Linked DNA regions of Schizosaccharomyces pombe. Changing the gene in region 2 together with the main gene of any one other region gives a genetic interaction. Each region holds a gene or a part of one and is shown on either strand. Other genes may lie near its edges.

Region 1 (3,760 bases), on a different chromosome or scaffold from region 2:
TTGAGTGATGGTGGATACGAAGACGATGTGATGAATGTCAAGCCTTCAGTAAACGTATTGTCTAATAGGTTAAATCATTTACCAGTTGAAGCATTGGAATCTTGCTTTCCACAAACCACTTTGGAGTCCTCCACGTTTGCTGATTTTTGTGAGCACAAAGATGGAACCGGTAACTTGTCTTTTAGCAACTTTGATAGCTTTCCCACAGTCCAAAGGTCAAGATATGCAAGTGATTTTGAAGAACTTGAGTTACTTGGTAAAGGCGGTTATGGTTCAGTGTATAAAGCTCGAAATAAATTCGATGGAGTTGAATATGCTTTAAAAAAAATTCCACTTCGGTTACGTTCTTTCTCCACTTCTTCTAACATATTCCGTGAATCTAGGACCTTGGCAAGATTAAACCATCCCAATGTGATAAGATTCTTTTCTAGTTGGGTCGAGCTCTTACCGTCATCTGAAAAGCAAATCGAAGAAGAACCTTTAGCTTCGGCAGATGAGACATTATCTCAATCAGCAGATATAGATAATTTTATGTTTGATATGGATACTGGGTTACTTCAGCATACTTATCCTTCATCAGTTCAGATACTATTCCAAGAGGACTCGGTTGCAGATGATTTAACTCCTTGTTACTCTACCAAAAATTCGACTTGCAACTTGACTGATCTTTTCAAGAAAGAGGCCGATCAGGATTATGCCGAGTCACATGATTGTTCTTCAACAACATCACAAGTCGACACATTAGGAAAGTTGGCGCCAACGAAGTCAGCTTCTGAAATGTTACTTATGGATTCATTTCTATCCGAAAGAGAGGAAGATGAATGTTCCAATATTCCCAGCTTTGATCAACAGCCCTTATGTTTGTACATACAAATGGCTCTTTGCGAAGAAACACTCGAGAAACACATAAACAGACGAAATAAGCATATTCACGGTGTAATGTCTAAAGGCCTACGTAACTGTTATATTTTACTGTTTGCAAGGATTTTAGAGGGCGTTTTGTATCTTCACGATGCTATGCATTTAGTCCATCGTGATTTGAAACCTCGAAATATTTTTCTATCTAGTGGTGTACATTCTGAGCCTTGCTCTGTGTGTCTACCTAATTTTTCTGATGAAGATAATGTTGAGGTTAGCAATGCGTACGAACCAGTGAACCAAAGAACTTTATGTGTTGTGCCCAAGATAGGCGATTTCGGTCTTGTTCTTTCTCAGTCAGATAATTTGGAAGAGGGGACCAACTCCTCAGCTGAATCTTCTTTTGTCGGTACAAGTACGTATGCAGCTCCTGAACTTTTCTCAAAACACATGCGATCGGTAATGAATAACAACTCGTCTACTGACATATATGCATTGGGCATACTCTTTTTTGAATTACTGTATCCTTTTAACACGCGCATGGAAAGGGCATCAGCTATCGCCAATTTAAAAAAGGGCATTTTCCCCCATGATTTCTTGGATTCCATGCCAGAGGAAGCTAGCTTAATCCGGTCAATGCTCAGCTCTTCGAATAAGCGCCCAACTGCTGCTCAACTTTTGACTAGCAATCTATTTCATGATTTGGTAGTCAATGAGCTTCATGTATATCAAGCTTTATTGGAAGATGCTGAGAAACGAAATAACAATTTGAAAGCAGAACTAAACATACTTCGAGTTTTAAACCCCAATTACGACTGTTAGTATTAGTTACGAACTACTTTGGACTGCTTCAATTGTTTTTACAATTCGCTTTTGACAAGATTTAGTTGTTTATGTTATTTTATGTTTATATTTCCTACGTTTTATGTTTATCCACTGTTATGATTTGTTTATAGTGAGTTATCTTCCATGCTCTTGGAATGGTTTTTGGAGCTTTTAGGTGCGAAAGAGTAGTCTGCATTAAAGATTTTTCTTATTTTAATATATTAAATTGAAAGTTCATCTTGTACATTTTTTCGTTGCTAGTTTTCAGTTCAACAGTCTGATTGATTTTTTTAAGTTTTCTTGATCTTGATCTTGTACTCAAAATGTTTATCCTTTTTAATCAAACTGTCTTTCATTTATGGAAAACAAATATCAATCAAGCTATAAATTAAACAGCAGAAGCGATTGTTTAATTTTAGCGTGATAGTAAACTAGCACTTCATTAGGCGCCTTATTCTAAAGACACAGTATGTACGCCACCCTCTCAATGTCTTTTAAAAAACATTTATTAATAAATATAAACTAGAATGGACACTAAACTTATTTCCAGCATTATTCAGTTAATTCTGATATGGACTACTTTCAAGTTGTCGCTTTCCAATTACGTTTGTGTTTGAGCTTGAACTTATCGGAAAACTAAATAGTTTTCGAACACAGTTAGTATTTCTTTGTTCTTTAACGGGTACAATAAAATGGATCGTTGCATATGTAATTGTTGCTTTGAATCATATTACGTCGGTTAAACCGAACAAAGAAAGTTATGTTCTAAATACTCAGTAATTTTCTAGTAAGTCTTTTACCTTACTTCTTATATCTGAACTCAAAAAGGATTGTTTACGAGCAAAAAACCTTGTTTCTGTAATTATAGGACATATTATTGATGGTTTCACCTTTTTTAGCTATTGCTTGTTAATGATGACGGCTAGTTTTAAAGGTATCAGAATCTCTAAACCAATTGTTAAAGAAATTTCATCGTTTGGGTCTCTAACAAACATTGATTTACACACTGACCCATATGAAAAAGTCGAAGCAAAAGCATTATCGCGAAGCAGATTAAAAAACCAAAGCGTAAAGAAAACAGACCTTCGTATTACAAATGATTACTCTTCACTATTTGTGAGTATTGAAAACAAAAAAAACACTATTCCGGATATTCATTGCAACAATTTATCAAAAAGACCTGTTGGATTTACCGATTCATATGTACCAGGCGAAGCGCTTCTATGTCCGGATGACCCGAATTTAGTGAATGAATTATTCGATGATGTTTTAAAAAGATTACGCGAAGAAAAATCTGATTCTGGTGAGCAGTTTCATTGGGACGCGAACGTTACACTCTCTCAAGAAAACAAATGGTCTTTCATCACTGGCTATTTATCGAGAAACGATAAATTTTTAAAAATATCATCAAACGATTCTGAACTAAATGTCAAGGCATCCGTCATTTCCTATATTGAAAAGTTAAGCTGTACACCGTTGAAGCTCAAGTACGTGGAATCTTTGGCGGTTGCATTGAGAACCGAATCAGTTACCTGGGTTCGATATTTTCTTTTGATGGGTGGACACATAGTACTTGCTAAAATATTGCAGGCAATTCATGAGAAGAAACATCTAAAAAGTCCTGACATAACTTTAGAAATTGCAATCCTCAAAAGCATGAGGTGTATTATAGGACAGAAGATTGGGACTGATTTCTATCTGAGTAATAAGTATCCTATCGATTCAGTTGTTCACTGCCTCCTGTCAACTAAATTACTAGTAAGGAAACTAGCTGCCGAATTACTTACTTTTCTTTGTTACTCAGAAAAGCCGAACGGAATCAACGCAATTATGAAATGTATGAAAAACTTTGCAAATTTGAAAGTCGAGTCTATGAACGTCTTTGATTTATGGCTTTCTCAATGGAAAAGAACACTCTTAGAGAAAGTTGTTACTGAAGAAAAGAAAGTACTAGAAGAAGCGGCCTTACATGATAAAATAACTATTGAGTATATCATTTCACAAATGCTTCTTATAAATGCATTTCTTGAAAATATCCCATCTAAAACTGCTTTACTCCAGTTCAAGGAATCCTTGA
Region 2 (3,760 bases):
AAAGAGCAAATAGTGCTGTCTGAAATACTAGGAAACAGACGATTTGTCAGATTGCGAATTAACTTACAGACCCAGCGAATACCATATGGAATTTCGTCGATGCTGTTAAGAACAGCATCTAAAAATCGTTTTGTCAAAAGCAATAATTGAGCAGAACGCTCTTGAATTGCATTTTTTACAGCAGGAAACTCTGAAACTTCCTCGTTTGTTAATAAATTATCATCTTCAGATGGTGATAATTGACCGGTATTCACCAAATAGCGATAAACTGAAAGAGGATGGATGTCAAGCTGCAAATCAGGATGGATAGCAACGTCATTAATGCATTGGTAAAGGATACTACGAAGATATGCTTGTCCGGGTCCACGACGTGTATAAGTTGTAAGCATTCTAGATACCGGAGTATTAGCCCTAAGCAGAGACAAAACGTCAGAAGTGGCCTCAAATTCGGTGGTTAATACCATTTGAAAAAGAGATAATAAAAGATGCTCTTCTCTACTCTCGTATTGGTTTCCGTATATATTAAACATAACGATTTGTAGAAGTGCATCCATGTTAAAAAGCTTGACGCGACGAACAAGGCTAGCGATATAGGCTGGTTCAGACTGAAGTAAAAAAAACAACGCTCCATACAACTGAAGCTTACGATCGTCAGGAAATGATCCTTTTACAGCATTGTAATTATCATTCAGTCGTTTTGCAAACTCATGCTGTTCTTCTTGTGCCATTCGATTTTGGATAAGAAGTGCAATTTTGGAATCAAGGTAGCGTACATCCCTCTCGAGGACGAAGTTTTGTTTGGACTGACTGGATATTTGTTGTTTGAGATCATGCAATTCACGATCCAAGTGGAAAAAGGCATCCTCAACGTCGGACTCCATATCAAGATCGATTGTATAAAGCACAGAGGTGCTTTCACGATTCCTTAACAAGGACAATCGATTTGTTTGCGGAAGCACCGACGAAGATAGGGTACCAGAGTGCCGCTTAGTCATTATAAATTTCAATAGCTAAAAATTGCCTAAGTAGCTAATGAACAAGAGAGGGTAGAAAAAAAAAAGAAAGAGTGTAGGGATCAAGTCAAAGTGTAAAAGAAGAAAACAAGGATGGATATTATACTAAGTTTTCAAACAAAAAAAAAATAAAATAAAAGAGAAAATCATCAAAAGAACGTTATTAGAGGAGATCGGACAGAACCTATTGGTTCTATTAGCAAAACACAGTATTAAGACCCACTGGCGCCCGATTAAACGATTAAAGAAAGCGAAATTCTTCCAAAGAAAAAAGAAAAGGATATAGAATTTATAACGTTATTGAGCAATTCAATAGTATTTGAGCAAAGCGTCCGAGTACGTTAACGTGAAAGGACGTAGGTTCAATGTGACAAATCTGGGAAAAAAAGAGAACAAAGAATAAAATGCTTGACAAAACACAAAAACAGGGTAGCAAAATGATATTGGACGAATAAAATTTAACACAATACTAGTGAGTGTTGTATATGAAGGTAGATGTATATGTATGTGAAAATAAGTAATGCTTTGTAGATGGAATAATATATATAAATATTTAATATTTATATATTTTTAAACAAAAATTAATAACTGGCTTGCTGAAGCAGCAACAAAATAAAGATGAGAAAAATTAAAAATTTTCAAGAAAAGATACTCGAGAAATTAAGATTATTATGTTGTGATATGAGATATCAGAAAAAACAAGGATGCTTGTTTAATTTTATAGTCTTTAAAAGCGTCTTTGAGGATTTCTGTATGTACGAAGTCTTGGGTAGAAAGGCCGACCAAAGGGTAGCGACTATAAGCGATGTAAGGTTTAATGATGTGGAAAAAAAAAATGCCGACTTAGTGAAAGTAAATATGTTACAATACAAAGTGGTGAATTAAAAAAAAAAAAAAAAAAGAGAGAGAAATGTAGAAATTTTATACATGAGAATATGTTAAACAAAGGACAAAATCTAATAATGTCTGCTTAAGACTGGTAGGTACATGTCATAGAAATAATTTACAACGTATATCAATTAATTCAATTGAGAGAATATCTAGTACGAAACGTTAAGTGCTTGTTTAATATGCGCCTGAAGTTTTTGTTTGGCTTGAGCTTTGTTTACATAGCAAGGACAAGACAGAAGCTATTATGGTATTTAGTGGAAATTCATTGTTTAATAAAGTGCGCAGCATTATATCAGATTTCCAACGTATTTTAATATTCGATAATGTATTAATGATCAATTAAAGAAACTCTAACTAATTTTTCAATTGGTAATTCGTTATTTGTAATGATTCATTTATAGATTTATTTTATTTTTTTTTATTTTTTTTTTAATTTTTTTTTTACACTAAGCTACTGGCAGTTTGTACGTTAAGCAAATACAAAGTCGCACGTGGGTGTTTTACCAAAAAGAATTGCGAGTGAATAGGATAAAATGGACGATGAATTTGTAGATTTTTTTTACTACAATTAATCAATGAAAGGAGTAAAAATTTAAAAAAAAAAAATAAAAAATAAATAAAAAATAAAATTAAATAAAGGACAAGATGAAAACTTATTATATGAATTATGGATTTACTTTATTTTATGCTCTTACAAACCGTAACTGGACTGCTGGAATTTCTTCTACTAGATGAGCGTCTATTTGTGTCCTATATATTTAAATTTTATTTTCTCAAATTACATATATATATCAATATGTTATTTCGATTATTTTCGATTTTAATTTTGATATTTTGGAAATTCACTTTATCTTCTACATAATCGCATTTCCTATATCAATCATCATCATCATTTGGACATCTTGGATCCGCTAATTATAGTAACGTTGTATTTTCACTTCATATATCACACTTTACCATTTAACTTTCTTATGGTACGTCGAGTGAGACACAATCGATACCTTGTGTTCTTCAATAGCTATTCCCACAGCACATGAGTCTTTTTACGTAACCCAATAACCTCTTCCCCGGAGTGATCTGTAGCGGACCATTTACTCAATATTGAAACTTTTTAATTACCACGTTGAATCACAAATTGCCAACAAAACACAAGCGCTTTATTTATTAAACGCATCTGACGTTTCAGTATGTGAATTTCTATTACTAGTAGTATGGTATTTTGTCGCACTTCAAATTTGGCCACCGTTACTATATGAGACGAAGCAATACGTAGCAGTAATGTATTTAGTACTCATTTATCAATGAAAAAGATCAAAACAAGAGATTAACTGAGTGATATTCAATAGGATTTGCTAAGTGAAGAGATGATCAAACATTTAATGCTGACTTGGTCATCTCCAACCTATATTACATAGATTTGATTTCTCCATGTTTGGGGAGAGAAATTAGACGAAGGGGTGGATTTTCATTCGTTTCTTCGACAAATAAGTCTTGAGCAAAAGTCCACTCAAAATTCGAATGATGTATAGCGCTATAGCAGTGGTAGAAATATCTGTTGTTTATGATTGCCAATTTTGCTAAGCAATGGTAATGATGATCATCTGTGTAAGTACTATGTATAATAATTAGAGAACTGAGTACCCAATATTATAGCATGCATTATTATGCTTACAGTACGAGATTACTCTCAAACTAACTAATAAAATTAATTACTTGATGACTTGACTTATCTATTCTCCTGCCAAATTATCAAACAACATAAAGAGTAAATTTTAATTTTTTTTTCAAGATTGGGTAGATGCTGTTCGGTATCGCAACGTTGAATTATGTATGTTTCATACTGCGTCTTAATATTA
Region 3 (3,760 bases), 3.4 Mb from region 2:
AAATAGTAATTCATTTAGGTATGGTGGTTGTTAAAAAGAGCATATAAATAGAAAAATTTGATGTTTTGAAAGTAATGTCTATAAAACATAAATGAGTTATGTTTAGCAATGCTTATATTTGCAAGGATGCTGTATACGCCGTAACAGCATTATTAGATGCACTTGTTAAATTCAGTGCTGCTCGAACGTACTATCATGTAATATTGTAAGATTCAAATGGTTTCTGCTATCTGTTTACTTACAGTTCTTGATCATATGCCTAAAAATGTAAAACAATACCGAATTTACTTATTAAGTTCCAGTTCACCTGAGCAAACAACGGCGCGTTGCCCAACAATTATAACCGAGGATAGTAAGAATCTGATTTTATTATATAGTATCCAAATTTAGGAGCAAACATTATTTCAATCAAAACATCGCATCTTACCATATCGTTAGCGAGTTTAAGAAGATACGGAATTAGTGGATAGCAGAGTAGATAGAGTACGTTACGGAGATCGAGTAGTTTATCAAACCAGTATTACTTCTTCGACCATAGACCCTTCCTCAAGTACGATTAAATTTACAGACATAATGGTAATTTGTATTTTTATTATAAGGAGCAATTTCTGACTTCTTTTTAGAGTGCTCAAACGAATTCTGGTATCCAACAACTTTTAGAGGTAAGTTCAGGTAATTCCAAGATCGTTATTTCTAATGAGATATGTAGGCTGAAAAAGTTGCTAGAAATATAGTCGAAAAGGCTCGCCAACGTAAGTTTAATCAATCGGAGCAACGTTTCTAAAAGATAAAAAGATCGCACTCAAAGATTGAAGGATGCACGTCTTGAGGCTAAACGCGAAATTGATGAATACGCTTCCAAGAAGGAAGAGGAATTCAAAAAGTCAGAAAGTCAGGTAAAGTTATTCAATACAGTTTTTAAGAGTTTGGACAATCAATTTTAACATATCAGGCTTCTGGTATATATAGTCAGGCTGAAGCGGAGAGCAAAAAGCAAGTCCAGGACACATTTGCAAGTATCGAGACAAGCTCCCAGAAGAACTCTGATAAAGTGGTTGATGCTATTTTATCTATAACTTGCAATGTTAAGTAAACTTACTGTTTATTACTAAATTTTTATATACACATTCTTACTATCCTCTGAAGGGAAAACTGTATTTGCAATTTTTAGCAATAAATCACTTTAACGGTAATCATCTAATATTCCCATACATGTATGAAATATTTGCAATTATTAGATCGTAAAGGGTATAGAATTCTGTCTGCGAGGGATGCTGTTAAATAATCATGCATTCAGATAGCTAATGATTCTTATTAAGCAAAATCATATAGTGGACTGTTGATATCCCAGGAATATGGTCAAATACGAGTTTAGCTCATTTTTTATTTTAGTATTGTGAAATATTAGCGAAGTTATCCAATAATTACCTTCAACCGTAGACGGACCTTGTATAAATAATAAGTTACCTGGTTAATACTCGATCGCATTTCCATAATACCTTTGTGGTAGATCAAGTCAATCGACCTCATTACACACGTGAATAAATAAATTAGATACATGTATTATAGTAACTATGCAATTGTCACCCTCATCGTTATACTAAGCGTATTTCAATGGAAACGTAAGCATAATCACAATTCTTAGTTCTTTGGTCCTTCATTTATTCGTTAATATACGAAGATGAGACATTCTATCCTTTGCCTTCAAACGTACCGACATGTATATTAGAAGAAATAAATAAAACACCTATTCAACACCTAATACTACTATTACCCCCACGTAAGTACTGGTTAAACCATGACTAGGTCAAAACACATTCTGCAACACTCTCCTAATGTAATATAACAGACTTGCAGATTTCAAAAAGCAAAGCCCCCACGAAGGTCGTCTTTCCCCACATAGATTATTATCGTTAAAGTGGGCTAAGCCAAACACGGTAAACACTGTTTTGCCAGCCATCAAGATTTAAGCCTTCGATTACAACACCGCATAACCACATAGCTGTGTTTTTTCTGCTTTTACCACAACTATGGCAAGTCAGCGGTTCGTGATTGCTTTGCATTCCTTTCCGGGGAAGAGTAGTGATGAACTTCCGTTGGTTGAAGGTCGGAAGTATCTGTTGATAAAGATGGATGAAGAATTTGGTGATGGTTGGTGGGAAGTAAGTATATAACTTCGAAGTCAAAATCCTATTATTTTTATTCCTGGTATATTTTATAATTTGAAGGATTCTTGATGCCTGCTTTGTACAGTTTTCCAATCCACATAAAGATGCAAACACTATATGTCAAAGTTGCATGCCCTTAGGATTGTGAAACCTTGATATATTTTTATCATACTAACTAAGTTTTAATAGGGAGAAGATGAACAGGGAAATAGGGGTATTTTTCCTGCTTCGCACGTAGAATTGATATCTGATGAGAGGTCTGACTCAAGTGATTCAAGAAGAGGCAAAGAAGATTTCTCCATTTCTACCGCGGAAGTCACAAGATCCTCTTTATCAAGCAGCCGGTCAACTTCTTCACGATCGGACAAGGACAGTGAAAAGTTGTATTCGAATAATTCCTTGTCTTCAAGTCACTCATCAATCTTAAACGGCCCCCTTGATAGTCTTTCGAAACCTTCGGTCCCTAGTAATTTTAACTCAATGTTTCCATCTTCTAAACAAGAAGGCCCTTCCCCTTTGTTGGATAACCAACCTTCCTCAGATCTATCAAACTTCAACACTATTGATGCCGATTATAATAATGCTTCTGCTTCTACTTCTGCTCCTGCTACTTCAGCAAGCTTGAAAAAGGTTTTGTCAGCTGAGGATTCCGTTAGAGAAACTATTACAGATATTGAAACAGCTTTACAGAATATGTCAACTTCAGCATCTCGTACTCCAAATGACAGTTCACCTTTGCCCTATATTGAAAATCGACCTGCATCCTCTCTTGCTGTTTCCGAAAAAATTCAAAATGTTCCTAACTGGTCTACGGAAGAGGTAGTTGAATGGCTTATGAATGCCGGCCTTGGATCAGTAGCTCCTAATTTTGCGGAGAATGAAATAACCGGTGAAATTTTATTAGGCTTAGATTCCAATGTTTTGAAAGAACTTAACATTACTTCTTTTGGAAAACGTTTTGAAGTTTTACGAAAGATCCAACAATTAAAAGATTCATACGAACAATCTTTATATGAAGAATATCCGCAGTTTGCTGAGCCTATTTCTGTTAGCCAAAGTTCTGATTCCTCCTCTTCTATTCCAAAAAAATCTAATGATGAAGCCGGCGGTTCACCATCAAAATCCAGTCCAACTCGTCCGGGATTTAACGATTATGTTAATCGTCCGACTAGTGTGATGCCTTCTTTGTCAAATATGATTGTTTCACCTGATTTGGACTCATCTCCATCTACCGATTGGAACCAATACGTGATTCCTCCTTTAGCCACACCAAGTTCGCGCAATTCTAAGTCTACGCAATCTGCGGTCCCTGAAAATGTATCTCGTTTTGATTCTAACGAACCTTCGGCCACATCACCGATATTAAAACGTTCATCCCCTACGGACTCAATTTCTCAAAATAGCGGTTTACCTTCTCGTCTTACTGAGCCCATCTCTTCTCCTTCTACCAGTAGCATTGATGTTGATAAGGAAGGAACTTCATTTCCTGGTTTACCTTATCATTCATCTAAGGGCAACTTGTATGCTCCTCAACCATCTTCTAACGTTCCTACTAAATTTACGGGCGGTGCATCGGAATCTTCTTCCGTACC

Evidence for each region.
Region 1: of gap1 (region 2) and fus1, changing one suppresses a phenotype caused by changing the other (phenotypic suppression), as found in Schizosaccharomyces pombe (one study listed by BioGRID).
Region 3: of gap1 (region 2) and pob1, extra expression of one rescues a mutant of the other (dosage rescue), as found in Schizosaccharomyces pombe (one study listed by BioGRID).

Annotation. Positions count from the first base shown.
Region 1 is NC_003424.3:4,816,179-4,819,938, reverse strand, and holds the start of fus1 (formin Fus1), read left to right. Parts: upstream 1-2,152; 5' UTR 2,153-2,595; coding exon 2,596-3,760. Other genes in the region: eIF2 alpha kinase Hri1, read left to right, coding at 1-1,680. UniProt on the Schizosaccharomyces pombe protein: Required for cell fusion. It associates with the pre-zygotic projection tips in conjugating cells.
Region 2 is NC_003423.3:946,408-950,167, forward strand, and holds the start of gap1 (GTPase-activating protein Gap1), read right to left. Parts: upstream 1,781-3,760; 5' UTR 996-1,780; coding exon 1-995.
Region 3 is NC_003423.3:4,389,424-4,393,183, reverse strand, and holds the start of pob1 (Boi family protein), read left to right. Parts: upstream 1-2,021; 5' UTR 2,022-2,030; coding exon 2,031-2,162; intron 2,163-2,357; coding exon 2,358-3,760. Other genes in the region: vma10 (V-type ATPase V1 domain subunit G), read left to right, coding at 574-576, 624-662, 710-752, 796-896, 953-1,093. UniProt on the Schizosaccharomyces pombe protein: Has a role in cell elongation and separation.